Linked DNA regions of Arabidopsis thaliana. The protein of the gene in region 2 interacts with the protein of the main gene of each other region in a pairwise test. Each region holds a gene or a part of one and is shown on either strand. Other genes may lie near its edges.

Region 1 (9,205 bases), on a different chromosome or scaffold from region 2:
CAGTCGCCCCAGTTTCATCGGGTCGTCGTCATCACAGTCGAAGAGAAAGAGAGATGGTGGAATACGATTCAAGTGATGATGAAGACAGACATTTCAAGAGGAAGCCATCAAGGTACAAGCGATCTCCTTCGGTTGCACCTTCTGACGCCGGTGATGAGCATTTCCGTCATTCTAAGCGATCTAAAGGAGAAAGAGCGCGAGCTTGATTCGAAGAATGAAGAAGATTCAAATGTGTGCGTAAATGACTAAAACGCCCTTCATTATCTTCACGGAGACGAACCCATGGCCTGGTACTATGACGAGAATGCCCTATGACTCAGAGATGGAAGATGACTAGATGTTTTGTTGCATGAGTTAAAGAAAAAAGTCATATGTAATCGAATATGTGTAATATTAATGGGTCTTTATTTCTCACTATCTTCGGTTTTTTATTTAGAAAGATTTGTATGACTTCTTATTTAATTAAATACCAGCCGGGTCATCTTTTTGAAATAATTTGTGATATTTGATTTTAAACTTATATGATGTTAGTATATGTTAAAATACTGGTTGAAATTGAGTACGAATTAGCCTAATATTGAGTAGCATACGTTTAAGCACTTCATTCTTACATCGTTTGAGATGCAATTTCAGATGTACACATTGGAACTCATTAATAGAGAGGTTTTGTCTTACAAGAATTTAACACTTGAGCATCCATTTTGGCACATTAGATTTAACAACAAAGTTTTAAAAATTAATTAGGTTGATACCAAATGTTAAATTAGGCATTTATTTGTTTTCGTGTAAGGGTTTTAATTGAAACATAAGACAAATTTGTCTTTTGATATTTCAAGAATTTTTTTTTACTCTGCTGAAGCTAAGGTTAAGATATTGTGCTCTAGCAAAGTTAATCATGTGGAAGATGATGAAAGTTTTAGGGATCTCAAAGGCTATTTCGACTATATGAATGATTTCAAGTATCTGTTCACAATAAACATCCCAGCCACTGCTGCCAACATGAATCTGAGAAAGGTTAATAGCAAAAGAGAATACAAAAGGTGATATGGGTGTAGTAAATCCCATATATAGCAAAAGAGGATACAAATGTGAGTGCACCTCTGTATTTCACATTTCAGTAAGGATTAAAGAGGACACAATTACAACGTATGCAAGAAATATGAATAACCCTATTTGAACTAATAATCTTGGATTTTCTCTCATATTTGGGGACGTCACCGACCTGCAAGCAAAAACCCTTGCTGAGTCTAGTACAAGAAACCATAGTTATTTATACCAAGAGGAGATTGTCGATTCTTAACCTTGCAATTCGCTGCGAGAGTCGATGAAACGGTAAACTTTGGATGAACACGATGCCTGGTCCCGTTAGAGTTGCTGTTACTACATTATCACCCTTTTTTTGACAAAATGTAGATGATTTGTAAGTTTGACACAAAAGGACCAACCTTAATACATATTGTTTGTAATGGATAAGGAAGAAACATAACATACCCCGAAAACTGCCCGTCTTACAGGAGCAGCATTGTATTTGATTTGGAAATTGATCGACGGAGTGAGAGCGGCAATGCAAGAAACGTCAATGGTGAGAACTTCTCCCACCTCCAGGTTTTTCTGTACAACTTTATGAAGCAAATGGAGTAGGATCAGTTTAAAAGGCCTAAACCTAAAGAGCAGTAAGTTGAGATAAACTTTAGTTGCATACCAGAGCCGCCAGCGATAATAAAAGCAAGACCCTGACCAGAAAGCCTTTGTCTCAGAACCCCCTACAACAACGACTCTCTGACTTCAAGCCAAACATATATAAAATTTTCACATAGTAGCATCTACAAGAAGTAACTAGGAAAGGTATAACTCTTAAGTTTTGAATGAACTGTGCCAAAAGCCAATGCAATGTATTGTTTTCCTTACCTCAGCCCCAGCTGCAGCAATGTTTCTTGCTCGATGTCTCTGATACACAGTGTTTACGACCTTCACATCATGGACAGAACAGAGAAATGCATCTGGCTACACAACAACAAGAAAAAGTCACATCATTGAATGAGGAGGAAAAAGCTGAGAGCCAAGCAGCTAAAGATTGACGGCTCTACCTGGCATAAGATGTCCCCACCAAACATTGCCAAATCAAGCTTCACGGAAAGAAACAAGCCAAAGGTCACCAAAACACATAAGAACGAGATAAGGAGATATACTTATATCAAGCAAGATACTAAATACTACGGAAGGAAATCATGGCAAGTAAGAACCACTAACTGGGAGAATCCTTGCCAAAGAAGGTGCAGCGATACCAACAAATCCATCGTTTTGCCCAGTGTTACGAAGAACTATACTACTAACACTCTTTCCTAAAATCCATTGTACAACTCCAACTTCTTGTTCAGGGGTATAAGTATTATCCATCTCAATGGACCCAGACATGTAGCACATTGAACCTAAAGAACCATATATAATCAGTTAACATATACAATCCAACCCAACAGATCTTACAAAACTTAATGAGGAATCATAATATGGAAATTACCAGGCTTAGCAATGACCTTCTCTTGTGGTTTTAACATTATCTGTCAAAAAAACAATCAAATGCTTGAGTATATATGTCAATCACATAAACACAAAATGCCCAGACTACAAAATAAAATGTCGACCTACCTGAACAACCTGTGCTTCACCACCCAAAATTTGGAAAGGTGTGATCGTATCTTCTTGACTCTGCATCATATAACCACTTGTGAGATTCATACTCCCACAGACACATTCAAGAGATCAATTTCTCACCCAGGAAATAGCTTATTAGCATTATCACTGAATTAGATGTAAGTACACATCACATTACTCAACACCTACATGAGAAAGGATCCTAAAATACTCGCGAAGAAGTATATTCGAACACTAGCCTTCTCGATAGTGACAGACAAGAATACGAATCTAAGAGGCGAGAAGAGAACGAAGATAGAAGACAAACCTGATAGACATAAGGCTGAAATGGAGTAGAGAAAAACGGAGCAGCCATGGCGGTGAAAACCGCAGAAAGATCTTCCAAACAAAAACCTCCGAATCCAAATTTCCACAGAACCAATTGGATTAGAAAACCTTTCACGTCGATGCGAGACGATCAGATCGCAGATCCAAATAACACACTCGAAACACTCTGAGCTCTCTCAAAACTCCGGTCGAAATGTTCGCGGTGGATGTCACCGACGGGAACCCAACAAAACGACAGATTAAATTCGCTTAAATCGGCCTGAAGCTGCACGTGGAATCTGTTTACGTGGAGAGATCTCATTGGTCACAAAATACACATCGACGTAAAATTTCATTTCCGGTTTAATATAATTACATTTCTTCTCAACCAACCCTCTTTCACTAGATTTATTTGGTACAAAATTTCTTATTCAATAGCCGGTTTAAAGACATTGGTACAACAATTACAAATCTTGTCGACCACTAGAGACATCTACAGAACTCACAAAACCTTTACTAAGCAACCATCCCACGCAACCTTTACTCTTCCATTGTTGTGTGTGAATAATCAGAAAGGAACCAAGTAGCTTCATCTATTAATAAGAAACTTAGATAGTTTCCCAAATAACTTAACAACACAAAACAATTTAAGAGCCTGTTTTCATCACCAATAACTTCAAGTGGAGACAGATGACAGATCTATCATCTATCTCTATCCATCTCTATACAAAGACCGGCAAAACTTAATAAAATCACTACACATTGGCTCATCCACCAGATGAATCCAATAGAAATGCAGTCTGAGTTCAACTACTACTACACGCATTGTATTTCCTCATCATCTCTACACTATCAGCTATTGTAGACCCTGGAGTACCAACAAAACCCAGTGAAGCACAGCTACAAACAGCTTCCTCTATGTAAAGCTGCACATTGGATCCTCCATGAGGGTAACAATGGGTCTGCATCTTTTTTATACTATCAAGACTCATCGGAATAGACCCAAATTTCTGGCCGTGACTCGCTGAATCAAGTTCATGCTCTGTTCGCGCTAAGAATTCATCTTGTTCCCCTATAAAGTGGAGCTTGAAATTTGTAGAGTTCTTAGACAAATCACCCAAGTAAGTTCCGGTCCAGTTAAATTCAGGAAGGTCTGTCATTACAAACACATTAATTAGACCAGGATTCTTAACGCTCAAAGCTTCCAACTTCTGATATAAACCCGTAAAAGTGCTCTCCCGATGATTCTTGAACTGGCCATCTAGTAATCTAAGTTGTGCACAAAGAAACGGCGCCTTTATGGTTTCTGAAGCAAATTTCTTTCCCGCGATCATTATCTCTCGAACAAAAGGAAGGAAATCGACCTTCTCAACCAAAGATTTTATCTTTGGAGATTTATGGATATCGATATACAGCTCTGAGCCTTTGTATGGAGCTGTGAAGAGGCTCCCAAATGCTAGAATAGCTGCAGACTCAGCTTCTGTACCATGTCCAAGAGTCTTATACACATCTCTTCGCCTTCTCACGTTGGACAATTTCTTTTTCTTCTTGAGCTTCTCATCAGGCTGGAACGAATCTAATCTCCCATCAGCTTCTCCATTTTTATAAGTCCAAACAGTGGTTCTACAATCTTCATCCACAGCATACAAACATTTATCTACATTACCACGAACTCCAGATAACAAATAGCCACACTGTTTCAGTGACTCATAAGCCTGAGACTGTTCAGCTAAATCATCAGTGCATAGAGTCTCCAAGTCAACACCACACTGTAGTGATGCAAAGTACCTAAAATCAATGACTCGAACAGCCGAAGAAGATACCAGCGACGAAATGTCTACAATATCAGCCATCGAAACGTACCTATAAACACCAACATTTGTCACCCACATTGATCAAATTACTAAAACTCATTACGAAAAAAAAAAGAGATTTTGTACCTGTCAGTCTTAAGAAGCTCAATTGAATGATTCCAAACTGAGATTCGTATCTCGCTGGGACTCAAAACCCTAAATTTAGGACAACTACCGAGAGCAACGGCGTGATGATCCAGAATCGGAGGAATAATTAGGGTCCGATTAAGAATTCCCGCCATAAGAAGCGCATTCTTAAATTCCGATAGCTGATTACTGAATCCACTGTGAGGAGCGTACCAGAGAAACTTCTGACCTAGAAGAGTTCGGGTTAGTATCTCGGATCTGCACTGAGGGAATTGAACGGATCCAGAAAATGCAGAGATTGAGAACAAGGACTTGGGCATCTCGGAGTAAGTGATGAAGAAGACGACGATGAAGAACACAACAAGTATAGAAACGGAGCAAAGAAATATCGCAGATTTGTCGGTTTGCTTCTTCCTGTTTGGCCATGGACGTGGGCTTGGTCTACTGGGATTGAAGAAGTTGTTCATGTTTTTTGCTCTGAGGTTTTAGTCGCCATCATTGCGTTGCGTCTAGTTTTGCTCATGTGTAGAAGATGCCAAAACGGTGAGTGTCACTGTTTTGGGCCTAACTAATATTCTCTGATGGGCCTTAACTAAAATAATACGAACTTAAACATAGTTAATTTTAGAAATCTTTTTGTAACATAATCTATACGAAGCTATTTGCGCGTCCACATAACATTTTAAACAAGCAATGGAGATTAGATATCTTGCTAATTAATATTTATGAACTTATTTTTATTTTTATTCTTTTTAAATTTTTGTAAAATAAAATAAAAAATATATGAAAATAAAAGAATATTTAAAAATATAAAAAATTTCTAAATATTTTGTCACCAAAATAATATTAAAAATATCAAAATGTAAATTTCTATTTTATTAAATTTATACACAAAAATAAATTTAGGTCTTTGGACCTAACTAATAATATTCTTTGATGGCCTAGAGAAATCGAATTCACTAGATGATCTAATATTTGTTGATTTTTAGTCCAAAATCGAATTCACTAGAGAAATTAACCTATTTAGCACTTACATGAATATATTGATCATCATTGATAGACTTAAGCAGTTGTAGTCTTTTAAGCTTTTTACGGGTTCTTTTTTTTCTCTTCTTTTCTTTAAGATCTCTTTATTTATATGTCTAAATCTAAACGTAATTTTCTGGATTTATTGTTAACATATATTAATCCCCATATCAGAAGGATGATAATTGATGTTGATATATCAGGATATAAAATAATTAACTAATGATTTATTTTAGCCAACAAAATATAACATACTTTTAACAAATCGTGATCGAATAACAATAAATTCTAAATAACACTTTAAAACACTAAAAGTCTTTTGAAATCATAAACCAATAACACCCCATGAATAAAAACATAATTAGAAACTTACGCATGCATCAGCTTCCGTAAATCTCCTACATCTCTCTCTCTCCTCTCTGCTTTTTACCTTCTAGGGTTTTTGATCATCTCTCAGGTGAATACGTTTTGGTATAATCTCATACCAATGTCTGCGAATTCCAAGTCGGAGAGGTCTGCTTCTCAATCGGCGGAGACGGTGGCTGTTTCTAACCGTGTCGTGGCGTCACGGTCAAGTCGTCAGCCGCGTCTCTCTTTCTCCTCCTTTGCTCCCTCATCAGAGCACGATAACCTGAAGAAGCTGAAATCCGATGAGATTTCTCCCGCGAGAGAGGAAGTGCCGGTGTCGGTGAAGGAGAGAGAAGAAACGGAGGAGGAGGAAGCGAAGAGGACGTGGAATCTTCGTCCGAGGAAGGCTTATGGTGGTTCGAAGAAAGGAAACGGCGTGTTCACGGCGGAGGTTTGCGGTGGCGGCGGAGGAGGAGGTTCGGAGGTGAAGAATCAGAAATCAGGCGCAGGAATTGAGCCGAAATCGAACAGGCAGAGAGGAATCCCGGCGGAATCACCCGGATTAGGCGGTGGTGAGGTTGCAAACGAGAATCATAGGCTTTGGGTTGCTCTAGCTCGAGACGAGATCGAAGAAGATTTGTTCAGCATGAGTGGGAACAGGTCATCTCGCCGGCCAAGGAAGAGGGCAAAAGCTATGCAGAAACATCTCGATGTAAGTCACCAGGTGTTCGACGAATTGCCTCACAGAGAATTCAAAACAATGACTACGTTTTTTTAGTGTCTCCATTTTCTTAGGCAATTCAATGTCTGCCATTGTAGGTCATTTTCCCTGGATTGGGTCTCGTTGGGATGAATGCTGATTGCTTCAGAGTAGCCACTTCTCCGGCTAAGGTTAGCTTTGATCAGTCCACTTACTTGCTCGATGAAAGCTTGGATCAACCTGCCCTTTAGCTACATTGATCTGTAGATAGTATGAAATGGATGAAAGTCTAGACCTTTAGGTGCTATTACAGATTTTATGAAGTTTCATTCTATGTTAGCTTTACGTAACCTAATGGTACTGCTGCTTTAATGATACAAAACCCGTAACAGCGATTGTATTCCATTTGCAGTGATGATCGATGCAAAGGAGTCTTTTGGTGAAGGAAAAAGGTGAAGTCATCTCCCTAATTGAAACTTATCATTTTCATGGATATATGGTAACGTTGTTATGATATTACATTGCTTGATCTTGTTGAGGTTTGTGCTTAAGTAGTTGGATTTTGTTTCTGCTTTGTTGCAGGGTAGATAGGTATGCTGGTGATCGAGAATCCAGATACATCACAGTAGAAGCTAGGAAGAAGATATCTCAAGAGACATGTTCTTGTCTCATATCAAACTTAGTAGTAACTAAACTATAAGTAAATATCGGTAAGGTCATATAATTATAGATATATATAAAGAGAGAGAGCGAGAGGGGTTTGTTTTTGAGTTAGTAATTAAGATGCGTCTAAGTTTAATGGCAGAGGAAAACAACATAATCTATGTTTAAAAAGGGTTTTTTGAAACCATTTATAACTCTTATTAGCACAGACAATGATTTATTAAACCATATATAACTCTTATTAACACACATAGTTAGAAAGTGTATTAAGATCCATATAAGTTTTTTTAAGTACAATAAGGTTTCTAAGAGAATAAAAGCAAATTAAAAACCTGCAGATAACTTTGAGAAGACGGCTAAAAATAGTTACAGTTCTGCATTAATGTTTCTAATTATTCCAAAAATGTGAAACTAAGAGTGTAGTTTTTGCTTTTACGCTGGTTTATTAATCACACAGTTGTTTCCTCTGTATGACTGTATTTTTTAAAAAATCTGCATACCCACTTAACAACAACCTGCATAAAGAAAATGGCTCACAGTTCATATTCATGTGATTGCATCTTAAGGCTTGAAGTCCTAATGTGAGAATGGAGTACCTAAACCACAATAAGCTAAATGGGCTAATATTCATGATTTCAAATCCAAAAGGCCCTAGAATACCACCAGTTACGACTTCTCTTTCTTTTTTAGGAAAATGTGATTTCTTGTAAATTTTAGTATTTAATTTGCAAGAGCATGCTTACTTTGAAGAAGGTTTGTTCCATTAATTATGAACTCTTCTCATTATTACTATAATGGGAATGATTATATAGGGGTTAGAGCATATAATTGGTTATCTTAGGCCTTTTGTGTTTCATTTTCATCACATGATGATTCTAGTCCACAATCATTTGACTCTCGCCATTTATGCTCTTCTACAGCGAAGCCAAATGGTCAGTTTGTCGGTTTTAATTGTTTCTTTTTAAGAAAATTAAAAAATTAGTTCCGACTCAAAAACTTAATCATTATTACATGTAGTTCTTTGCCGAATAATCAATGAAGAGTATCATTCTCAGTGGGCTCCTCTTGTTTCCAAAAAGCCAATTCATTCGAGAACAACTTTCACCGATTACATCACACACAGCCACAAAAGTATCATATACAGTTTCAATCTTTTAATTTAAAAGAGAAAAAGTGATATCAAATTTTAAACGTAATTGAATCCAAACCAAGAACAAAACCGAAGATGATCGCATGTCCATTTATTTTTTTATCATATTATGTAGCTTGTCTTTTACTTAGAGATTAATTGTTGTGATAGAAGTTAATGATTATGTGGAGTAAATTAAGTACTTTTCTAAACATAACATTAGGAATGTAAGATAATGCAATGACGATGATGATGATACTAATAAATTAAATGATGTGATTGGTAATATATCATGTGCCATTAATTGCTTTATCGACGTCATACACAGTCCTCGTTGTACTTGAGATATGTATTCTTTCAACGACCAACCACACACAATGGCACAAAAAAACGATTCCTTACTCTGTCACGCAGTGGAAAATTAGGGGCTAAACCTAAATT
Region 2 (7,759 bases):
ATAAAGTTAATTAGTTAATACAGGACAAAGAGGTACACATCAGATATACGAGGCAGTACTTGTTAGCTATATCTCGTAATTTGTCTTGGCTTTGAGACACATCCACTACATTTTTCCTTTTTCTTTTTTTGGGTAAAGTACCCACTAGTCCACTACAATATTATAAAAGTTTGCAATTATATATGTACAACAGCTCACCTCAGCTCTTCATTGTGTAACAAAATTGAATTGAATTTTAAGAGATGGGAACTTTTGTATTGTAGCTACCAATTATTTATGTTTTTAGTTAAAAGATTAATTGAGGTGTCATGCAACATTACCACTTATGTGGAGAGTCCAAAGAACCCTAAGACCACCTCTTTGTAACTTTGTTGCTTGTCATCACTTATGTAACGTTTGGTTTTTATCTTTACCAGCCTCTTTCTTGGAGTCTTTACCATTCTGACCATCTAGTACAGATTAGCCATGGGATGAATAACCGATCTGAAATAACCAAATTGGGCCGAACCAAGATTTTAGCTGTTCGCTTTGAAAAGTTACATGTCCTTAACAGATTGGTTAAATTTGAATTTTACTTCAATTAACCAAGTATTTTGCTTTAGTTCAGTTATCACTTATCAGTTAACTAAATTATATGTTGTTTATAACCAGATTATACCACAATTATACCGTTTTTTACCAAATTTAAACTAGTTTCCATCGATAACCTAGCCAAAATTAAACTACCCGAATCTAACCGAAGAACCAAAATTATTCAAATATAATTTAAAAATCGGATTAGAAAATAATCAAATATTCGGTTAAATTACATTTTGGGGATAAAATTTATTTTTTAGTTATATATTTTTGATCTATATAAGAGAGTGGATGGATATAAACCACAAATATATGTACCTACAATAATGAATCCAACAAAAGGTAGTTACAATCCACATGAGGTAGGTACCATTAAAAGAAAACTACAAAATCTTCTATTTTTGTTACGAGGGTAAATAGAAATCAAAAGATGTGTAGAACCCAAGAAACTGTCATAACTAAACTTTTAACGTTGGTCCACTAACCGGAGCAAACCGGTAGAAAACCGGAAAAGAAATAGCTGTTGTGAGATGGAAATCCAAAAGTCAACTTTATGAACCATGTGTACAGCACATGCCGAGAGAAAATTGAGTTGGTAGTACTACCCTTAAGAACGTTGTGCCCCATCATTATGAAACTACATTACTCATGATCATGACTATATTAAACTGACACTCCATTGATATATAATAATACATATATATAAGTTATATGACCGGCCACGTTTTGATATAATATCGGAAAAAGTCAATTAACAATCTTTTTTGTTATTCTTGGTTTTACAACATGGGTTGTGAATGGTTACGGCGGTTGGGGCGGACACAACCGTCAATGGATCAAACCGCTTTTTATTTTTCATTCATCAATTATAGTCCGCAGTGGTCCAAACAAAAAAAAAAAGAAAAAACCCGCAGCGGACCATCTGCGAACTATTTTTACATACAAATAAACTTGCTCCGCAACGGTTTATTATCCATCCCAAAAATGAAATGGACTAAACCGCAGATAAATTAGACCGTTTTGTCCGCTGCCTCCATTAATAGCCTATGTGTTTTTTTCTTTTCTCATGTGGTTGTAAATAATTTCTTGTAATGAGTGGCTCACCACATTCATTATAACTTGTTAAACCAAATGTTTATAAACTATAACCAACAAAGAGATATTTTAAAAAATCCCTTTCTATTTTGATATAAGAAAAACACCCGATTTAGGAAAAATGCTAAATGGGCTTTATATAAATGGGCCCGTTAAAAGCCGACCCGAGTGGAAACTATGGAAGATCCGATATTGGTTTCAAGAGAGAATTTCTGAAAATCATTGGCGCCAACAAAGCGAACAATCTCTGAACATTGCTACTTCGTCGTCTTCAGCAGATCTTCATCAACGAATACGGTAAGAAAATTCCCCATTTTTCACATAGTTTTCTGGGTATTTTCGTACAGCTTCATTTGAACTTCGTATCTTTGTCTCCTTATTGTCAATTTGATTGGAGCGAAACTTGATTTTTTCAATTTCATGTACTCTTGTTTACTTCTTCTTGTTCATTGTTTAATCCCGATACGTAATTAGTTCAGAAGATAATCTCATTTGGTTGATGCAAAGTTTCCCCATTTTGGTATCTAGGGTTTACAATTTCGTTCGTCCACCTCATAACTTGTTTATCAATTTCTTTATTTGGAGATTAGTGACCATATTGATGGGAGTTTCTAGATTACTACTAAGGATCTCTCTTTAGCTAGTCAGTAAAGTACTGTTACACGTACTGCTTTTTTTAAAGTTCTACTTCTAAGTAATTGATATTGCAGCTCTTCATAATCCATTATCTATGAAATTGATCTTGGTAAATGCCGGTTGTTGAATTATTGTGGTCACTCATTTTCTTCATGTGGTCAGTATAACATTGAACCTCCCCTTTTAGTATTATTTGATTTGACCATATGGTGGGATTCGTCCTCGGACCCCATTCGCTTTGTGCTGTTTCTTATGGTGGTGACCTCTCTCTCTTGTTCTCCTTTCGATGGATTATATTATTGCATGTTTCTCTCATTTGTGGGCCTTGACATTTTTCTCCGGGGCTTCGCATTGTCACAGCCTACAACTTAATTTGTTCAATAACAAAGCAAGAAGACTCTTCTACCTCTGGAAGGGTACATTATGTTATTGTATGATTTATATAAAAGTGTAGTAACCCTTATGATAATCAGTAAAATAAGCTAGTGGCAGAGCCTGACTTTAATAACCTTGAAACTTCATAATGGTAAAGATTATGACATCTCTCTTTAGTTGACTAAGTGTATTGGCCACCTCCACTAAACTATTGCTTTAAGCCTTTCAGTGATTTTCCTTCTCATCATCCTGTACATTTGATTTTTGAATTGTTTATGTTTTGTTTTCCAGTGTGAGTATTTGCAGATCTAATGAAATTTTCCTTTATTGGCTTGTAACTGTGAAATATAAACATTTAGTAGTTCAAGATATGAAGAAAGTAACATTCTCGTAATATTTACAACTTTACAGTTGAAATGCTAAACTTGTTTTTAAGTGTAGACCGCTTGTAATCTCAAATAATTCTAAAACATAGTAGTTTAATCATAGCTGCTACAAATATCTAGGTGACTAGTTCTAGTTCACCTAAACCAGCGTATCCATCTTTCCGGTTCTAGTGGTGCTATTTGGAGAATGATGCTGTCTTGTGGTGGTTGAGTAGAGTTTAACGAGCTTGTTTGGCTGCAGTCGGCAATCTTCTCGCATGTCTGGATGAGGCAGTGCCTGCAGGTGGGACAGGACGAGTGTGAACTAAGCCACTTGTCTATACAACGGACATGGAATCCATGGTGGCATGTCGGCAACAGCTTCACACGTTCCTCGGCTACAAATTCCGAGAGACAGATAGCACACTCGGTATCTAAGCCAGGCAGATTTAGTTCAGTAGAGTAACTTACTGTCTGGAAACTCTTCAAGGCTTTTCGTTTGACTCCTGTGTTGGTCAAGCGAACAGGATAGTTGTCACCACCAGCTTCAGATGGTACTAAATTGGAGCACCTCAAGGCACATCTTATTATAGAATTGAGTCCAAGTGAGCAAACAAGTGCACATAAGAGGACTGATAGGACCATAACAACATTTGCATCAAAGTTGTTATCGCCTACATATGGGGATGGTGCTGGAGTTGGTGATTGATCATGGGTATGAAATAGTAATTTTCTTGAGTAAGAACTTCCAAGAATTTCTTGAAAGATCTCAGTTGGTTTTATGGTGGAAATGGAAATGGAAATGGTAGTGCACATGATAACTTAGTTTTAAGATAGATTGGTGGCTTTCTGTGTTTCCGTTGGAGGTTGTTTATATAGAGTAAAGGTTTGGAGGCTAATTGTTTATATAGAGGAAAGGTAAAGTTTCAATTTTTTTTCAGATATTTAATGAGGAATTTTTTTTTATATATTTCATTTAGAAAAACTTATGGTTGGATGAATAAGAAGCTATAAAGATCAAGCTCACATTATGGACCTTTACCTTTAGTGTCTAATTTTATAAAATCATTTGCAGCGTAATATGCTTTGTTATATAAAATGGGTCCATCATACCAGTTGCTGCAATAGTAGTGCCATGTGGCTGTGGCCTTAGCAAATCATATCTCCCAGAATTGCTTCTAGGGACCCATGAGCTTTTTAACTGGAGCAGCCATGAACTTTCCCTATCTTTGATATAGCAGCATTCAAATATTAATATCTCCTGGCTCATTTTACTGATATCTCACTGTTCCTTGATATTAGCCTGTTAGGGCTTATAATATATGTTTTCTACTTATGGTCTTGATGAAAACCGAGTTTCGGTAGATAGTTCTGACCCAGTGATATATCACATATGTGTCTAACCTGTAAAGGAGTTTCTCATATATAAAGCAAGGTTTGATTTAACTTTTCTTTTCTTTCCCTTTTTGCTATTTTTTAACAGTGGTGGAATCTTAAAAGTTTTGTTGATTTTGTGCGGTTTTGAGAGTGTACGGATGAAATATTTCCATTTAGTGAACTCTACTTATGTTTGGGGAACAGGAATCCACCCCATTCGTAGTAACTCAAGTTGTCCATAGAGTAGCCAAAAGGACAAAGCCTCTCCCAATCAATCTTGTTAAAGGCTACTTTTATCACTCTCATAGCATTAGTATCCACCTCCTGCTTTTTTTTCAGTAAACAGTTTCTCTCTCTCTCTTTATCTTTACATGCCTTTGTTTTAAATCAGAGGTAAAGGAATTGGTCCCACGGATGAACGAATAAAAAATGATTCTTTTTGTTTGCTTTATGAGATATCTTCTTCCATTGGTTGCAAATTGCGAGGGAAATCTACATGAATCTAGTATCTAATGTTTTTCTTGTAGCTCCAAAATCAAAGCAAGATTCTTTGATATGTGCTTTTGTATAACATTGTTTCTTGCTACTTTCCTAATAGCTGGTTTAGTGAAACATTAGATTAGGGAAGATTGTGTATCTTTGGGATAAAAAGTTGATGTTACACAGTAGGAGATGCATCTTTTCTATCTTTTCTCACCAGTCTCACTCGGAAATGGATTCCTTTTTTCTTTTGTCTGTGCCATTAGGTTACATATAACTGGTACAAATATATATAGTGGTCTGTTTTCTTGGTACCTTCTTTAAAGCAAATAAACTTTACTTTTGTTGTGTTATATGCTATAATGATTCGTTTGTTGGGAATATCTTAATTTGATACTCATTCACTTTAAAACTGCAGGGGTAACATGGATGAAGATGAGAAATCTGAACAGACAGAAAGATCATCCAAACTAAAATTGGTCATTCACCGTTTTTTTTTTTGAATGATGGAAGTGAAATGTTACCAACATATCGAGGTGAAATCACACGACACGACTTAAGGTGAAATAACGCAACTTGGTGAGAATTTGAAATATTTCTGAGAACATTTTTGCTGGATGCATTTATGATTTGGAAATGGTTTTGGATCCAGTGGGTGTTAAGAGCCATAAGAAAAGTTTCAGAAACATTTTAATTATAGTTCTCTTTGGCTAGAAAGTTGAAATACTGAAACACAGAGCTTTAGTCCTGTCTTTTAATCATTTATGTACCATTATTGACTTTCTTTGGTGGAACCTATTCTTTAATCATTTACTCTTTGGCGCCATTTCTCAGTGTTCATCTTTTGGTGAACTTTTGATTAAATATATATTTGTTCTTAGTTCCTGCTAAATATCTATAAAATATCTTTTTGGTCATTCTTCCTACTAAATATCTGTAAAGTAAATATTTATTTGATCATTCTCCCTACTTAATAATTTCTTTCTGTCAAGTAAATATCTATTTGTTCATAGTTCTTACTAATATCTTTTTATCTTTTTTGTCTTGTTCATGGTAATTGCTATTTTGATGACTTATGCGTGTGGATCGGTTTTGAGGCATATAGATTAATTATTAAGTGGGTTGATTCATGTAGATAGATGTAATTTTGTTTCACAAACTTTGTGCTTTTGTCATTATCAAGAGTACATGGGACCAGGTCTGGACCATAATTCCATATGGTAGACTACACACTGCTTCTTCACACAACTAACTCTTGGCATTAGTTATTGGGAAACCATTTATTCTGTCTAGTGACGTTTTGGTTCAGTGTACTGATATGACACATAAGAATATACGACCAGCACTTATCAATCTTTGGTTATCAGATGAATCTTGATGTTTTTGGATAAGATTGCAAAATTCACATTCCACCGTAAAAATAGTTTTACAAAGGAAGTTTGATGGACTCATGAGATGCTACTGAAAATGAAACATAATCACTCTGTATACACTTTGTGCTACAGGTAAAAAGAAAGTCATAAAAAAATTAGAAGTACAAATTCTGAATTGCTGATGGTTTCTGTCTTTCTTTGCATCTAGCTGATTTCTCTAATAGTGTTTACTCTTCCTTCAGGTTCTAGCGGAGCAATCATGACAATAACGATCTCTGTTGGTTCTAGAGGAGCAATCGTGACAATTACGATCTCTGTTGGTTCTAGAGGAACAATCGTGACAATTACGATCTCTGTTGGTTCTGCCGTAACTGAATCAGCTTGACTGAAGTCACCTAATATCTTTTGGCACGTCTCAACCAGACAGTTTCTGCATTTTGGACAAGTCAGATGTTGTTGAAGCCACTTGTCTATGCAACGAACATGGAACCCGTGGTTACACTTGGGGAGCAGCCTGAGCTGTTCACCGGAAACAAAATCAGACAAACAAATGACACACTCTTCGTCAAGCCCTGGCAGGTTCATCTCAGGTGAGTAACTCACAACTGGGAACATTCTAAGAGCTTTCTTCTTGATTCCTTTGTTTGATGAACCCCGTGTTGACGAAAGACTTGGTACAGGCTCGGAGATCATGAAACGTGTAGAACGTCTGAGTGCACAACGAATGATGTAATGTAACCCGAGGCAGCAGATAATGCCACAAATGAGGATTGAGAGAAGCATCATAACATTCCCACTGAGGTTGTTCTCATGGGTTATGAGAGGAGATGGTGCAACCGCAAAGGCTCGTTGAGTGTTGTGGTCAAATGGGTTGTGCAGAAGCAGCTTTCTAGAGACAAAACCGCCAAGGAATTGTTCTTGGAAGGCTTGAGCTGAAGAAGGTAACTCATTTGCAGACATTTTTACTCTTTGAGAAAGCTTAAGGTCAAAGTCGCTTCTCTATGCTTTGTTGGCTTTCTTTGGTTATTGCTTCTTAAGTTCTGAGGAATTCAAAGTTGTCTTAAATATAGCTCGAGATGCTTACTGATTACTGTGGGGACTGAGTATTTTATCTAATACTATTTTTCTAAGAAAGTGGGGTTTCTTCTTTTTAGTTTTTTTTTTCTTCAAATGAGACTTGAGTGCTGATTGTGCCATTGGCCCATACCTCCTCCAACCCTAAGATGCTTGTGTATAGGGACTATCACTTTTCCAACATTAAATTTGGAAATCATTTATTTATGCCCGACTTTAAATTATAAAACTTTGTTTTATCATTTTTGTCCTGTGTTGAGTCTTGATAAGCTAGATTCTATTTGATTAACGTTATTATATGTTTAAGTCTGGGTAGTATTTGCAAATTTTATTCTGATAATTCCCAAGTATCTAAATGTCTGCATGTATATGGTTCTCTTGAGGTGAAATAACATGAGAATTGGAATA
Region 3 (6,172 bases), on a different chromosome or scaffold from region 2:
TAAAAATTAGACGATTATTATGAAAGAAACTAAATGAATATGCAGATTAAATATATCTAAGCTTTTCGAGATCTATGCTAAGAAAACAAGTAATTTGAAAGATATTTGAGGAGCTATCCTTATAACTAATACGTAAGATATAAGATTATGACAAGAACTTAACTAAACTTTCCAAGAACATCAAGTTGAATATGCTTAGATTGAATATGCAGAGATATGATTAATAAAGACATGTTATATTTTTAGTGTAAGAAATAAATTTTCTAAAATTTCACCGTCTCACAATCTATACATATAACTGAAAAAGCAAGGATATATAAATTCAAAAAAAAAACTGAGAATCTAAAACAACAATAAAAACAATTCAATCACATTCGTTTTTCAGATGAACTAATATAGTTGGGCTTTTCAAAAACAATTACAAATCATATTTATGTTTCAAAACCTATGCATTCAATTTTACTTTATATGAACAAACATTATATAAAATAATTTGTAAATAATACGTAAACCCGCACGTAGTGCGGGTACTCATCTAGTCATTGATAAAGAGGTAACATATTTTTAAGAGATATAGAGTTATTATTTTGATCTAATTACTGATTAATCTTACATAAACTCAACTATCAATCTTGTCCCAAATAATATAAAAATCTTTAGCAAGCATGTAACGTACCATTCACTATCTAACAAAAATCCAAACATTGGCATATGCTACTAGAGGTCCATTAACAAGACAGTACTAATGAACGAACATTTTCACATGTCAAATGTTTCATCTTTTTCATCATCATCATCCTTCAATTTCAACAGCAGCCTCTGCTTCAGATACATAATCATACCTAATATCAAAAAAAAAGTTAATAAGCATTTCATTGATGTATCAAAAGATAAAATCATACTATCATAGACAATCATCATAAAAATCGAGTTTAAAATAGCTTCGACTCTTTGTTTGCATTACATATTAAGCAAAATTTCCTTTGCTGATTGTAAACGCCAAACCAAACCTTTCTGATTGCGTTTAACTTAGCAAAAGAAATGTTTTATATAGTAAGCTGATGAATTTGTTATCTATGTTAAAACACAAGCAAAACAAAAAAGTGGGTTTGATTCTCACTTTATTTTGCGAGTAAGTTGGTATATCCCTGTAGCTGCCATAGCAACATTAACACTAAACAGGTTCCAGTTTTTCTGTTAAAAAAAAACAAAAGTCCAAAGAATCAGATCGATAAACCAAAACCAAGAATCCAATCACAAAAGTAAAACTCGAAAAGCAAACAAAACTTACAGGAGTAATTATAGTGCTGCAACGACACCAAATCATTCCAGTGCATGTCACAGCTAATACAATAATTATGGATAATATGTTTATAACAATAATTGTAACAAGAAAGATTAGAGATTTCTGAAGAGTAGTAGTTATTTACCAATTTGCTGAAGGTACGAAATATTTTCTGGAGGTTTCTGGAAATCTGCAATGTTAGCAATGCTTATACCCCACTTAAATGTTGGAGCCCAGAAATGAACTGATTAATACCCAACAACAACAACAACAAAAAAAGAGAGAAACTGTTTACAATTAGAATATATTATTCATTAGAGGATTTAAAGTGATATAGATTTTTTTTTGTCAAGAACTGTACTATAAACAATTCAACATTTTCCAATAGTAACGTTTCAATAGAGTCTTAATTGAAACGGAAGAAGAAAGAGTAATATATTATTGATGAAACAATGTGATAACTCACTTGTCTTTGGTCCTGCCGGGTGATTCCAGAGAGCTTGAAGCTTAGACGTCGCCATCAACTTTTGTTTTCCTCGGAGATTCTCTTTTCTCTGTCTTGTTTCAGTCTCCTACATAAATATTAACGAAATGATGCTACTCAAAACGACGTCGTATAAGCAATATGTAATTGAGCCACTCAAATCTTTCCGATTATATTCATCGATCGTACTATCGTGTAGTGTTGTAGTGGCCAGATCTTTCCTCTTTTAAGTGTTTTTTTGTTTGTTCATCTTAATATATTTTTTTTTGTTCTTGGGAAGCATTGACGCTTTGATTGGGCTTTGATGAGACTAACCCATGGGCTTGAGAATTGAGATGAGGTGATTTGTTAGAGAGAAATCGCATTCAATTTCGTTTCGTCTTGGAACTTGCTTTACTTTCATTATGGCAGACACATGATGACTCTATTGGTCGATAATAACAAGGAAGAGCATAATTAATTATTCTTGGCTCTTGATTCATTTCAAAAGAATGCATAAACTCTCAAACCTTGGATAGAAGCTAAAATTTATTTTTTACTTCTTCTTCTCCATTCACATTATCTTATAAGAAAACTTTTGAAGTACTTTTTCAAATAAATTTTTATAATGTTTTTTTCATGGTTTTAAATTTTGATTCATGTTGACACACTGTTTAAAACTCATAGTATTAAATCAATCTATGCGTTACATAATCATTCTCCAAATTTGTCCTTAAACTAGCAAACAAAAAGCTTTAGCTTTAGACTAGAGTCCCACCAGTGACGTACTCGGTGAAGGCCAACGCAACGAGACCGAGCATCGCAAACCGACCGTTCCATAGCTCGGCGTCTGAAGTCATGAACCCTTTTGACTTTGCCTCTGCCCTTATTCCCTTGAACAACGGAACCATCGATGCCAACGTCAACAACGCTGTTGTTCCTAGAAACCACCCGACACCACCGTCAGAGATCTGAGCAAACACGTTTTCTCCCTTTGATAACTCCATGGCGATGGCCGCCACGAATCCAACCATTGCTAGTCTCCCGTTGATCCTCTCGGGTGCTGGACCGCTAAACGCTAGCAAATCTCCAAACTTCGTACTCACCTAGACAATAAGAAAATTATTCATTAGCTTCATTTTTTTAGCTAGTGATATATATTAATGACTTTGATCATTAGATCATACCTTAGGCTTGCTAACTGGTGGAGGAGGAGACTGTGGCATTTGTGGTGGAGTGGCCGAAGTCGAGGTCGAGGGCACAGAAGGATCTTCCTTGATAGGATCGCCCTAAAAAAATAGTCAATGTAAGGAACGGTCAGGATTAAAAGTCAAATAAGTAACGTAGGGAAGTGGAAGGACTATGAGGTTAGTGTATATATACCTGAGCCATGCATCTGACTCCTACCGGAGCAATCCTCTTGAAGAAGAGTTGGTTTGTGTTTCTGATGTTGCGTGTAGTCAATACACCGGAAGGAGCAGCGAACACTGACTGCATGTTAAACGACGCCGTTGCCATTTCTGATTAGGTTTTCTAAAAGCCGAAGATCGATGAAGAAGAGAGAAATGAATAAATTATAAGACTTGAGAAGTGAGATGGAGTTGGTTTGAGGTGTAACTGTAGGATTATCTCTTCATTTATAGAGTTGGTGAAGGAAAATGATAGGCCCAGTATTTTCTGGATTTTATTTATCTTTACTGATTTATGGGATACTATGATTACTTATTTTATTTTTGTTTTTGTGTGGTGTGTAGTAGAGTAATAAATAAGTAGAAAGAAATCTATCAAAGAAAAGAAAAAAACTGAATTCAAACTTTTTATTCCTTTTTTTTCTTTTTTCCACTTTAAACTTTTTTTTTCTTTTGGGGAAGAAAAAGTTTCCTCAGAATAAATGTTTTCAAACTTATGAGATTTTTTCCATATTTATTGTAACACCTAACAAATCAGTTGGTCATTCGTTTCATTATTTGTAAAACTACCATATTAAAATTATACAAATAAATCGAATTATTTTGCTCGAAATCGTTAAAAATGTGAAAAAAAAAGAAGAATATATCGATATTTGGGTTGAACGCTAAACACAAAAACACGTAGCCAATAAAATTTGAGAAATGAGAGGAAAGTGAGGTTGAGATCGGTGAGAGGCCACGTCTAGTTGGAAAAGTGCAAGTAAACTGATGGCGTGGCCTCCTCATTACACATAGATACACATCTTCCTTGTCTTTTTCTGATTGGTCATGGCCAAGTGGGTTTGGCAAAAACACGTACAAATTTTTTTTTTGTCTCAAAATGTTAATAACAAGTTAGTGGCTCACAATATTCACTTGGGACTTGGGAGATTCGTTTTTGGTATAGAGAGAAGTCGCATTCAATCTTGTTTCGCGCGTATTGGAACTTTCTTAACTTTCATCATGGCAGACCCATGATGACTCTTTTGATCCTTTATGTGTCCCATTCATGTCTTCGTGCCCAATTCTCCTACGTGCGCTGTTTTTTTTTCCAGATTAGAACGGTAAATAATAGCACAATTGTGAAGATATGGGCATAGTCTTCGTGTCGGTATAGTCTCCTTTTCTATTGTCTTTTGTGTGTGAGTTAATTTCTAAATTTGTAACAAGGAGAAGAGAAACCTCTATTAGTGCTTGTAATACTTTTTGCTTGATAGTGAAAAGTTGTGGGAGACAGTTCCCACCCGAGACGTACCGGTTAGAGGCCAGGAGGCAGGAACTCGGTGATCAAACTCTTGTGTCAATTTCTAGCTTAAGCAATCTAACGTTCCACACATATAGAAAACTCAACAACAATTATTTAGATATGAATGATCAGATTTGATGTACCACCATCGATATGTGCTCTCTGCGAAAACTCTTTATATATACTGAAAGAAAACATACACCCACATTGGTAGTTTTTTTTAATGGATTTTACTAGCAGAGGATAATAAATTTATCGCATATATTACTTACATTTGTAGTTTCAAATACGAAAAAACTTGACCATTAGTAGTGTGAAGTGTGTAATTGATACTTTTGAGTTCAGGACGAAAAAATGTTCACGTCATTCGTGAGGAAATAAGGCATTTAGACTCAAAAGTCCAAACATGTGAGAAGGTCCTCGAAAGGGCGAACAATAAAAAGCCCCGAAGCCCATAACACGAGTGCCTTCTTATCCCCATGAGTCTTCGAGTGGACAAAGAGAGAGAACAACTTTGGGAAATTTATAGTAGTTTGTGAAGACTTCATATAAAAATTGTATTTATGAGATTATTGTGTTTTAAGAGGAGAGACGACGAGGGTCATCATTCATTTAATTACTTTTAACATTATAATTAAGTTCTGATTTATCCGGTCGTTTATGTAATTTATTGATTATATACTTAGGTTATTTAGCCGGCCACAAGGCCAAGCAAGCAAAACATAAGCTTGCGGCCGCTAATCATATTATTATTTAGTTTTGGCCGAATTTGCATAAAAATGTAGTCTAATGGTTAAAGTTTCAGTATTTGAGTTACAAGTTCCTTAGTTCAAACTTTGACAATGTGTTAAACTAATTTTTTTTTAAACGACAGAATCACTAAATAAATAAATATTATGTGGCCCATTTTGTTTCTCTTATTGTAACCCCGTGAAACCCGGGGACGACTAGGTAACAAATACTCTTTGGGTTTTCTTATAAATCAAATGCATATCTTTGATAAACTAAACCATGAAAGAAGGAGTTTTTTTAACTGATGAATTGATGATTATTGAAGTTGATATAAGTTAGATTCAAGTTTTGATGTACTGTATTTGGAACAGAAATGTTATAATATCTTACTAAAGCCCAGTTCGGAACAAGGCCTTACCCTTATTTAAAGCCCCAGTAGATCTGTTTTGAATTGTCGCTATGAGTGAATGAGGATGGGTAGGTCGACCCTCAGAATTCTTAATTGGCACATGTTGAATGTGAGCCCAAAGCAGCCACCAATAAAGTGAATCAACTCCGTCATTTTCAATGCTTTTTCATGCAAGAGGAAACATTAAAATATCGTCGTTATTAGTATTAATTATGTTTTTGACCTGTAAAGAATGGACAAAACTTATACTAAACAAATTATTTCGCCGTCAAAAAGGAAACAAAAGTTCAGATATAAATTCCTGGTAGCTTCAGGTCAAGATAAAGTCAGGTCAAAGGTGATGAGCTCTATAATGAGTCCTCCAAATGTGATTTAAGTTTAAGAAATGAACACACTTTTCTTAAGCCGGCATTAGTTTTATGTTATTACCCCACAAATGATGATGATGATGTCGCATGGTCCTTCACGTGATTACAATATTAATTTGCCAAGTTGATATCGTCATGACTCATGAGCAAAGTGCTGGTCGAACATCGACGTATTCTTGGATAATGTTCGATTTTTGAACTGGTCCTAATTCTAATATCAA
Region 4 (8,852 bases), on a different chromosome or scaffold from region 2:
TCTCATTTTCTTAATATGCTTTGTTTTGGTTTCAGCTTGCTAAAGATATGGAACATGAACAAGTACACTGGAGTTCTTGGCGTGTATAACTGCCAAGGAGCAGCTTGGAGCAGCACAGAGAGAAAAAACATTTTCCACCAGACTAAAACTGATAGCCTCACTGGCTCCATTCGTGGTCGTGATGTGCATTCAATATCGGAGGCCTCCACTGATCCAACAACCTGGAATGGAGACTGTGCTGTTTACTCCCAGAGCAGAGGCGAACTTATTGTTATGCCATACAATGTGTCTCTTCCAGTCTCACTCAAAATCCGTGAGCACGAGATCTTCACGGTGAGCCCCATTAGTCATCTTGTTGATGGTGTATCTTTTGCCCCAATTGGTCTAGTAAACATGTACAATTCGGGAGGAGCTATCGAAGGACTTAGATATGAAGCCGAGAAGATGAAAGTGGTAATGGAAGTTAAAGGATGTGGCAAATTCGGATCTTACTCTTCTGTGAAGCCTAAGAGATGCGTTGTTGAGTCAAATGAGATTGCATTCGAGTACGATTCCTCCTCTGGATTGGTCACCTTTGAGTTAGACAAAATGCCTATAGAGAACAAACGATTTCATCTGATCCAAGTTGAGTTATGAAGAGTGATTCATACAATTCATTAAACAAAAACAGTCTCAAAACAGTTTTAAATAGTCTTTATTATTTGTAAACCTTTGGTTACCATTGTAGCTACTTTCAATGTTATACTACAGTTCACGTTATTGTTCTATACCAATATTAATTCCCCAAAAAAAACAGAGTATCACTACTAAGGCAACCTCAGGTTTAGTCTTCTCAACCAAACAGAGTGAAGAAGCATTCTAAGCATATCAAACGGTTGTGACGGTCTGTTGATCACGAAATGTCTCTGGACCTGCAAAACCCTTCTCTGCAACACCCTGTAGCGTCTCCAGGATATGCTCTTTAGTATGGTTTTGATCTCAGGGATCTTCTTAGAAGGAACATGAATGGTGAACTTAGTCCAATCAAGAACGTCTGAGAAAGGCAAGGCGTAGTGATCAGAGATGATGACAGGGACGCAACCTAAGTTAATGGCTGCAACGACTCGAGGGCTAGCCACTTCGTAGCCACTAGGACAGAGACAGAACCTTGCCGTAGCCATGAGCTTGAAGTAGTCTTTGTTTTTGGCTAAGTACTCGTGGACTTGGACCTCCTCATCTTTGTCTTTCCAATGCTGCAATAGAATTCTGCGGATATAACCGTGTGAACCCCCTGCGAAGAAAGCAAGGATGGGTCGGTCATGGCCCGAAGAGCGCGATAACCGAGGTGGTCCCAGGTGGCCTCCGGGGATGTTGATCTCCGGGATTGAGACGTCTCGTTGGGGCATGAAACCTTCTGATGTGTTGGCGTTGCAGAGAACTCTTATCAGGTTTTTCATCAGCTCCGGGTTCGATCCTGAGACGTCTGGTGCCTGCAAGAGTCTTTAAAAATGTTACATTTCAGTAGCAACATCACAAAAATAAGTCTGGTTCCAGAAAGAAAACAAACCCAATCATGGCAAGAAACGTAGAAATGGTCGGCTCCAAGGCTTCTGTTCCAATAAGGATACTTGTGAGCCACAACATCGACGTAGTCAAGAAAAACTTTGTGAAGTTGTTCCCTCGAGTAGGTCACGAGCGGCCGGTATAGGTAATGAACGATGTTGGCGACGCTGACAGGGAGGAGAAAGGCATGAGCCTCTTCGGGGTTGTTAGCCGCGAACGGGCTCATCCCTGTCTCGATCTCGTCCATGAATTGGCCTTCAATGCTGTATATGTTGTTCATTGGACCCATGTGAACTAACGGTGTCTCTCCTTCTCTGTACACCCACACTTTGAATTTCTTCTCCATCTCTATATGGCTTCTGCTCAATTTCATAAGAAAAAGTGTTGTTACTACTCGATCATAATTCATAAACACAGTGAAGTACATTTGTTCCTAGCTACAATTTTTGTTTATTTAAAGTTTGTCTACGAATTTGTGATAGACTAATCACAACTCACAAGACAGTTTTTGAATACGGTTAGGTAATTTCTTACTATGTATTTAGAGTAATTTAATTCTCTTTTAATAAAATAACTGGGAGCAGCAATTCAATTTTGCAACAAGCAAAGAAATGATGATTTTGAAGTCAATAAAAAGTAGTACAATACAACTAAACATTTTTTTTTTTTTTTTTACTCTAATAACTAAACTAAGGTTGTAATGTGAAGATAACATAGAGCTGTGACTACAATTACCAAAGCAGGGCTTTAAGTAGGCGCTACGTTTCTCTACCCGCATACCATTGTGCATATATAGTATAGTCCCTTAATTAAGACACGTTGACTATATAAAAAATTTACATACTTTTCTGAATATTATAAAGTTTACGCAATTCTTTAAGAGAGGTACAATTTGCTTTAAGATTTGGGAGAAAGATTTATTTTGGTATTTACTATACACACGCTTGGTTGTGTGTAATATAAGCAATACAATGTATTGAAGTAAAAACAAGTATAAGAGCATGGACACTTAAATAGTTATAATATAAACCATATAACAAAGTGAAAATGAATACTTAAATAGTTCAATCTTGAGTTTAACGAGACGCAGAGAACTAAGGAACGAGGAAGGATTAGAATTATACTCAATCGCTTCGTTTCCCATAGCAAACGAGTAAATAATTCAAGAAAACCGAATTTATACATACTCCAAATGAAGGGAATAAAAAGGATTTCGAAAATAATTTATTCATGTAAACAATAAATGTATTTTGCTTAAAAATCATTGTCGAATGTCGGTTACACTTTTGAGGTAAATTTTGAATTTCTCTTCTTTGAAATCCAAATGATCTGGGGAGAAAATTATGGGTAACTTAAATGAAAATTGTCATATCATTAGCATAAAATGTAGTTGTATACTTAATAATTTTCATATTGACTAGTTTTTTTCCCCCAATAAAATCTTAGTATTACATTTATTTCCTAGTATGGAAAGTAACTTTAAATGAAAATTTGAAAGACAAAAAAAAAAGGAGAAACGAAGAAAAAAAGGAAACAGAAACTTACTGATGAAATGCAAAAGCGTTTCTGTAAACGGCTCCTCGAGGAACAAAGGTTTCTTCTTTGTCCGATACAAACTTCTTCAACCTCACGGCTTCACGTATGGCGGATCTTGATTTTGCTAAACCTTCCTCAATTATGTTCCTCTTATTTCCTTTCTTATTACAACAAATTATATATATTCAAAAGTCAAAACAAATCTATAGCATAAATGAACAAAATCACGTAAATTAATAAAAACATACATTTTCAGGAGGACTCGAAATTGTTGAAAGGTTTGATGAGGCGACACTAAACTCCATAGACAGGGACGGTGAAGGAGATGGGGCGAGGGACGTAGCGTCGACGAAAGAAGAGAGAGCGTTCGAGTTTAGGTTTGGAGAAGAGTGATGTTGATAAAAGACGAGAAGAACAAGAAGAAGAAGAAGAGTTGGAACTAGAGAGAGTTTCATATTAACAAAATTTGATTGTTCCATATTTTTTTTCTCTAGTTTCTTGGGCAGTGACACATTTAGGGTATATACTTATGTAGTAGAGGAATATAAGAGTCTATTATAGTAGAGAATCCAAACCAGCTAAAAGTCTACCAAATAAAATCACTAGAAAGGTAAAAAATTAAAGCAGAAATGGACCAAAATAAATCCTATTAGGGAAGGAAACGGAAGACTAATAGAGTAATTGAGAAGCAAATAACATTAATTTTGTATTTATTGCTTTATAAAAATGTTTACCGAATCAGAAGTAAATCTTCATATCGTTCGGGGTTTGGCACCGTCGATCGTTACTAGCTAGCTATCATGGCATGCTTAATTTTAGGGTCAATTTTGGGTTTGGTTGCAAGAAGAAAAACGAAAAACTTTTATACCCATTATCAAACCGGTTCTTCCCGTACTGCTATAACCGGTCTGAGGCAGGCAAATCAAATTTGGGGTGGTTAAGCATAACCGGCATTATAAAGCTTTAGCTGACATGTTTGGTCGTATATTTGTCACTCTTGAAGATAATTTAACAATAACATCAAATTGGGTTAATTAGAAGAACTGTTTCACGTACGCTATGTTTCACACATCAACCTTAAACTAATGGTGATGGTGTTCGATTCTTTGTTTTACTCATTAACCACACATAAAAAAAGTTTCATACATCAAAAGGAAAAAAAAAAAAAGATATATGAAAATATACACCAAGTCTCACGGCAAGACCAAGACATTTGGCTTCCGAAATTCGAAAAGAGTTTGGGTCCGTTCACGCATTATCGATCAAGAGTCTAGTTACAGAGTGAAGCTTGGTCTTTAATTATGTTTATGTCTGATCAATCCTTGTCTTGCATCTAATTAACACCTGTATAACCTAGTAACACATATATTTATATCAAATCAAAAAGAACAAAAAAACTTTGAAGCAATAATAAGAGGACTCGGCTATGAAGAATGAAAAAGGAAGCGGAGACTTTGATGAACATTTGATGGTGCATATATACATATTAATTCTCTTGTGGTTAGGGAATCCTGACACTAAGCTAAGTGCGCATGTAGATAGATGAAAGAACCATCAACCATGCATGAAGTCCATCCTTTGCATCATTGGTTTTTTTTTTTTTTTATAAAACAAATCATTGGTTGTTTCAACCGTCAATTTTTGCTTTTGTGTTTACATCAATTTTTTTTTATGTCTTTTCAATTCTGTTTGCTTTCATGATATAAAGCAAACAAACAATTGAAGTCATCATATTCAAAAACGAAACTATTCAGTGGCAAATATTTGATTTACCATTAACTTCTCATAGAGAAAAAGACTTCTGAAAATCATGCATATTCAACAAACATAACAATTAACACAAGTTGAATTACAATTCAATTTAAAACAAATGGGTTATTACAATTTTGTTCACCACGATACAACAAATTAATAATATTATATTTAAAAGAATTACAAATATATGGTTTAACAACCAACGTGGTCACGCCAGTCCAAGAACAAGAGAGCAGCTGCATAGTGAGACAAAGCACCCAACAAAACGAACACATGGAAGATCTGATGACTATGTCCCACACGATCAAACCATCCCGGTTTAAGCCTTTCTGGCACTCTCCCTACGTAGAATCCTGTTCCAACAAGATAGAACACTGCCATAAGCAACTCGTACACGAGCGTCACGTTCCTTTGCGGGTTTCCCCAATTGACCACTAGCGCGTGGGCAGCTGGGACAATCCCAAACAGCCCCATGGAGGCAAAGAGCAAAGCGCGGAAAGCTCGGTACTTGGGAGCGGAAAGTGATGGGGTGAAAAGTGTGATGATTGTGAAGATTCCCATGGATGTGATGCCTGCGAGGTAGATGAAGTACCACCGAGGAGTGCACTGGAAGATGTAGAAGATTGGTGGGAAGAAGGAAGTGATGATCATGGCGGTGATACCGGCATAGTCTATTCGGAGAAGGAAGACATTAAGCTCTTTTGAGTGGCAACAGAAGAGGTGACAAATGCTGCTTGCGAGTAGGCAGAACATTGAGCCTCCTAAGAAAACGAAGAAGGGCCATCTTGTTACATTCCCTGGACTCTTTGCATCCTACAATCATCAACATTGATACCACCATTAGCTTTACATTTTTATTGACTAGTTTGAGATACTAAAAAAACATATACTAGATATATGATCAAATAACATATTTGAGTTGATTTCTAATCTAGTTAAGAAATACATTTTCTTCAGTTGTTTAGATATGTGATTAAATAATAGATTTGAGCTGATATATAATCCTTAAAAGAATTACATTTTATTGAGTTGTTTAGAATATACTACAGAAAACAAATTATAGTCAATGTAATATTGTCAAAGATTTTATTCATCATTTCGATTCATGTCTATATATCTTTGATATCTTATTCAAAATCATCATAACAAAATCCAGGTATAGCAACGAACAATTCATTAGAAAATTAAGATAAGTTAATCAAAACCAATTAGGTATATATCTAATTACTTGACACATTCACTTGACTAATTTGAAGTTAATATAGTGGTTGCATGTGGATCTCGAGGGAATAAATTGAAATTCGGGCTAAACTTGCGATTATTAAACAAAAACAAAAATAAACGTGTTGATTAAAGGACACTTACCACGGGGAAGAATCCGTCGTGATGAATAATATTGGCGACGGTTAGTGCCACAAAGAAGATAAAACCAATCAAATGTCTGTCCAAAAAAAAAAAACTATTAGAAAAAAAAATCGAAGAAAAAATAATTGAAACTAGAAGTAAAATTTGGTGTACTTACGTCCAAACATTGAGGGACTCATTGTGGAAACTAAATACGCTGAAGAAAGCATCTCTAATGGACCAATCAGCTCTGTAATAATTCAATATGTATTCGTTGTCTTTCATGTACTCCGGTAGCTCACAATACGACATTAATTCACGTCGTTTCATTGTCTTTTGTTGCGTTTTTCTCTTCTTCCTTCTCTTGGTACCACTACTCTCATCTCCACCGTGATCATCTCCAGGCACGATCTTGCTTTTGCAGTTGCCGTTGCCGCATGAAACTGTTTCTGCTTCGTCGTTATGACCATTTTGGTCCATAAGAGCTCTCGAGTATCGATTCTTGAGACAAGAATACTCAATCTTGATCTCAAGAGAAGATGGTGAGAGAGAAGATCTGAGAGGAGAGGAAAATATATAATGAAGAAAGATTATTATTATTATTATAGTTGAAGTAACAAGTATTAAAATGTGAATTTAAGTTTGAGGGGAGAGAGAGAGAGAGAAGAAACAAGGAAGATGTGAAATGTAAGGAGACAGCTGCAACATTTAAAGACGAAACTTTAGTATGCAGGTAGAAGTTGGTGTCGTGTTTTCATCTTTTAGTTGTTAGTTAGGTTATCAATAAATTCTTCTTTTTTGATTATTATTATTTCATTTCCCTTTCTCTTACGTTTGTTTTTATTGTATTTTTTTTTAACAAGAAAAGTGATTCAGTTTTACACTACTTTTTGAGATATGGAAAATCTTTTGAATACGAGAAGAGTAAATTTAGGCGATTTTAAGACCGACCGACTCAAAATTCACTACCGGCTTGTACCTCTTTTACATGATTGATGCCTTGTACCCACCGGATCGTTTGTATTTATAAGAAAGATATAAGATATGTGATGCAAACAAAATAGTACTCTTGATGTAAAAATAAAAAATAAGGACTCATTTAGACTTTTACTATGCTTCAATCAACATTAAATTCTGTGTGAAATTAAGATTGGTGAGGGGTTTACTTTACTTGAAATAGACGAGTAATTTTAGAAAATTTGCATTTTTGAGTTCTTATGTGTAATTCTAAGTAATTTTTTTAACAGAAGAAGTTAGGATAACAACAGAATTTAATGTAGTTATGAGTTATGAAGTGATTGTGGTAAAGAAGTGTCAAAGCTCTTTCCATCAAGTGGATGACAACAAAAATAATGATACTAAAAACAAGCATGCAAACATTTCAAGGATTCCTTTTTTTAAAAGAGTAGACCACAAAAGCCAAAATCATGAAAATTTCTATTTTTTTCTTGTGAAATGTTGCAAAAAACATTAGTGTCATTTTCAATGAGTTACCACTTGAAAAGGACTTGACCTTTAAATGCCTCTAGCAATATAGAACTTCAAGTTAATTAATTAGGCAGATGACTAAACTTTAGAACAAATTTATAATTTATTTGGAAATCAACTAAAAAAGGATGTTAAAAATTAGACGAAAATATCTTCATACAAGGAATTATAAACGTTTTGTTGGCAAAAAAAAAGGGAATTATAAACGTTTGTGACATGCATTCATGTAATACATGTTATTATGCTGTTATTATGAAGGAGTTAGTGAGTAAAGATCTTGACGCCACTACAAGGTTTGTACTTCGGTATGTGTTTCAAAACACGATACATTCTATATGGAGAGAAAGAAATGAGAGGAGATATGGACAGACGCCATCGAGGACGAAGAAGATAATCAGGCTGATAGACAAAAACATAAGGAATGGATTAAGCACGTTGAGGGTAAGATGTGAAGAGAAGTACGCAAGAGGAATCCAAGTGTGGTTTACTTTTAGGCAAGAACAAAATCAAAGATAAATAAGATATACTTTTGATCTATTTTTAAGAAAAGTTTGCATTTCTGTATATAAACAGTTTATTTTTCTTTGAATATAATTTAACACTAAATTCAAAAAAAAAAATATGTTGTTATTATGTAGATAGTAATTAACATCTCGGCGTCCCATAGCCATACCTTTATTTTTTCTCTTACAAAATTCAGTTTTGTTATCTAAAATTAAAGCTGATAAAATGGCCATAGTTGTAGCTTTCTGGTCTTTCAAGATTTGGGTTGGCTTAGGCTTTTTGGGAAAACATTAACCAAAGAGGTCACTCCTGAAACACCCCCAAGGAATCGCAATCATATACGCAAACTCCATATACGTGTGTTTAAGTTTCTTGGGAAAATAGTTTATTACTAATTCATAACTTAAGATTTTGTTAAATATGGTTGAAGAAGAAAATGACTTTATCTTCTCGACATCTTTTGTAATCTTTACTTTTGGATATAACTGCCATGTGTTTGCAATCTATTTAGCCTTAATTATATATTTTGTCGCCTAGGCCTAATTAAAATCAAAAGGAATGGTTTTATTTATATGAATGTTGTTCTGTTAATTAAAATACCGGGAATATCCTCTTTTTCTTTTTATTATTACAATACTTTGCATAAATGAAGTAAAATCCGGTAGGTGTCAAAGAGACAACCA

What was found.
Region 1: the proteins of AT1G49230 (region 2) and AT4G17430 interact in a protein complementation assay, tested with the Arabidopsis thaliana proteins (one large-scale study listed by BioGRID).
Region 3: the proteins of AT1G49230 (region 2) and ELIP2 interact in a protein complementation assay, tested with the Arabidopsis thaliana proteins (one large-scale study listed by BioGRID).
Region 4: the proteins of AT1G49230 (region 2) and HHP1 interact in a protein complementation assay, tested with the Arabidopsis thaliana proteins (one large-scale study listed by BioGRID).

What each region holds. Positions count from the first base shown.
Region 1 is NC_003075.7:9,721,437-9,730,641, forward strand, and holds AT4G17430 (O-fucosyltransferase family protein), read right to left. Parts: upstream 5,399-9,205; 5' UTR 5,366-5,398; coding exon 4,899-5,365; intron 4,822-4,898; coding exon 3,765-4,821; 3' UTR 3,274-3,764; downstream 1-3,273. Other genes in the region: AT4G17410 (DWNN domain, a CCHC-type zinc finger), read left to right, coding at 1-206; AT4G17420 (Tryptophan RNA-binding attenuator protein-like protein), read right to left, coding at 1,108-1,222, 1,302-1,393, 1,492-1,619, 1,703-1,763, 1,909-2,004, 2,088-2,126, 2,251-2,429, 2,519-2,558 and 2 more; AT4G17440 (chromogranin (DUF1639)), read left to right, coding at 6,412-6,984, 7,092-7,223.
Region 2 is NC_003070.9:18,205,424-18,213,182, reverse strand, and holds AT1G49230 (RING/U-box superfamily protein), read right to left. Parts: upstream 3,990-7,759; 5' UTR 3,864-3,989; coding exon 3,204-3,863; 3' UTR 3,006-3,203; downstream 1-3,005. Other genes in the region: AT1G49225 (uncharacterized protein), read left to right, coding at 4,036-4,038, 4,531-4,565, 5,323-5,393, 6,520-6,644, 6,728-6,871; AT1G49220 (RING/U-box superfamily protein), read right to left, coding at 6,482-7,237.
Region 3 is NC_003075.7:8,415,467-8,421,638, reverse strand, and holds ELIP2 (Chlorophyll A-B binding family protein), read right to left. Parts: upstream 3,398-6,172; 5' UTR 3,267-3,397; coding exon 3,132-3,266; intron 3,038-3,131; coding exon 2,936-3,037; intron 2,855-2,935; coding exon 2,510-2,854; 3' UTR 2,314-2,509; downstream 1-2,313. Other genes in the region: AT4G14695 (Uncharacterized protein family (UPF0041)), read right to left, coding at 794-842, 1,121-1,194, 1,292-1,344, 1,431-1,529, 1,752-1,806. UniProt on the Arabidopsis thaliana protein: Probably involved in the integration of pigments into the mature light-harvesting pigment-protein complexes.
Region 4 is NC_003076.8:6,836,000-6,844,851, forward strand, and holds HHP1 (heptahelical transmembrane protein1), read right to left. Parts: upstream 6,948-8,852; 5' UTR 6,658-6,947; coding exon 6,356-6,657; intron 6,275-6,355; coding exon 6,199-6,274; intron 5,647-6,198; coding exon 5,026-5,646; 3' UTR 4,834-5,025; downstream 1-4,833. Other genes in the region: DIN10 (Raffinose synthase family protein), read left to right, coding at 36-636; AT5G20260 (Exostosin family protein), read right to left, coding at 807-1,469, 1,547-1,901, 3,088-3,239, 3,327-3,557. UniProt on the Arabidopsis thaliana protein: May act as a negative regulator of abscisic acid (ABA)-mediated osmotic stress signaling and function in cross-talk between cold and osmotic signaling.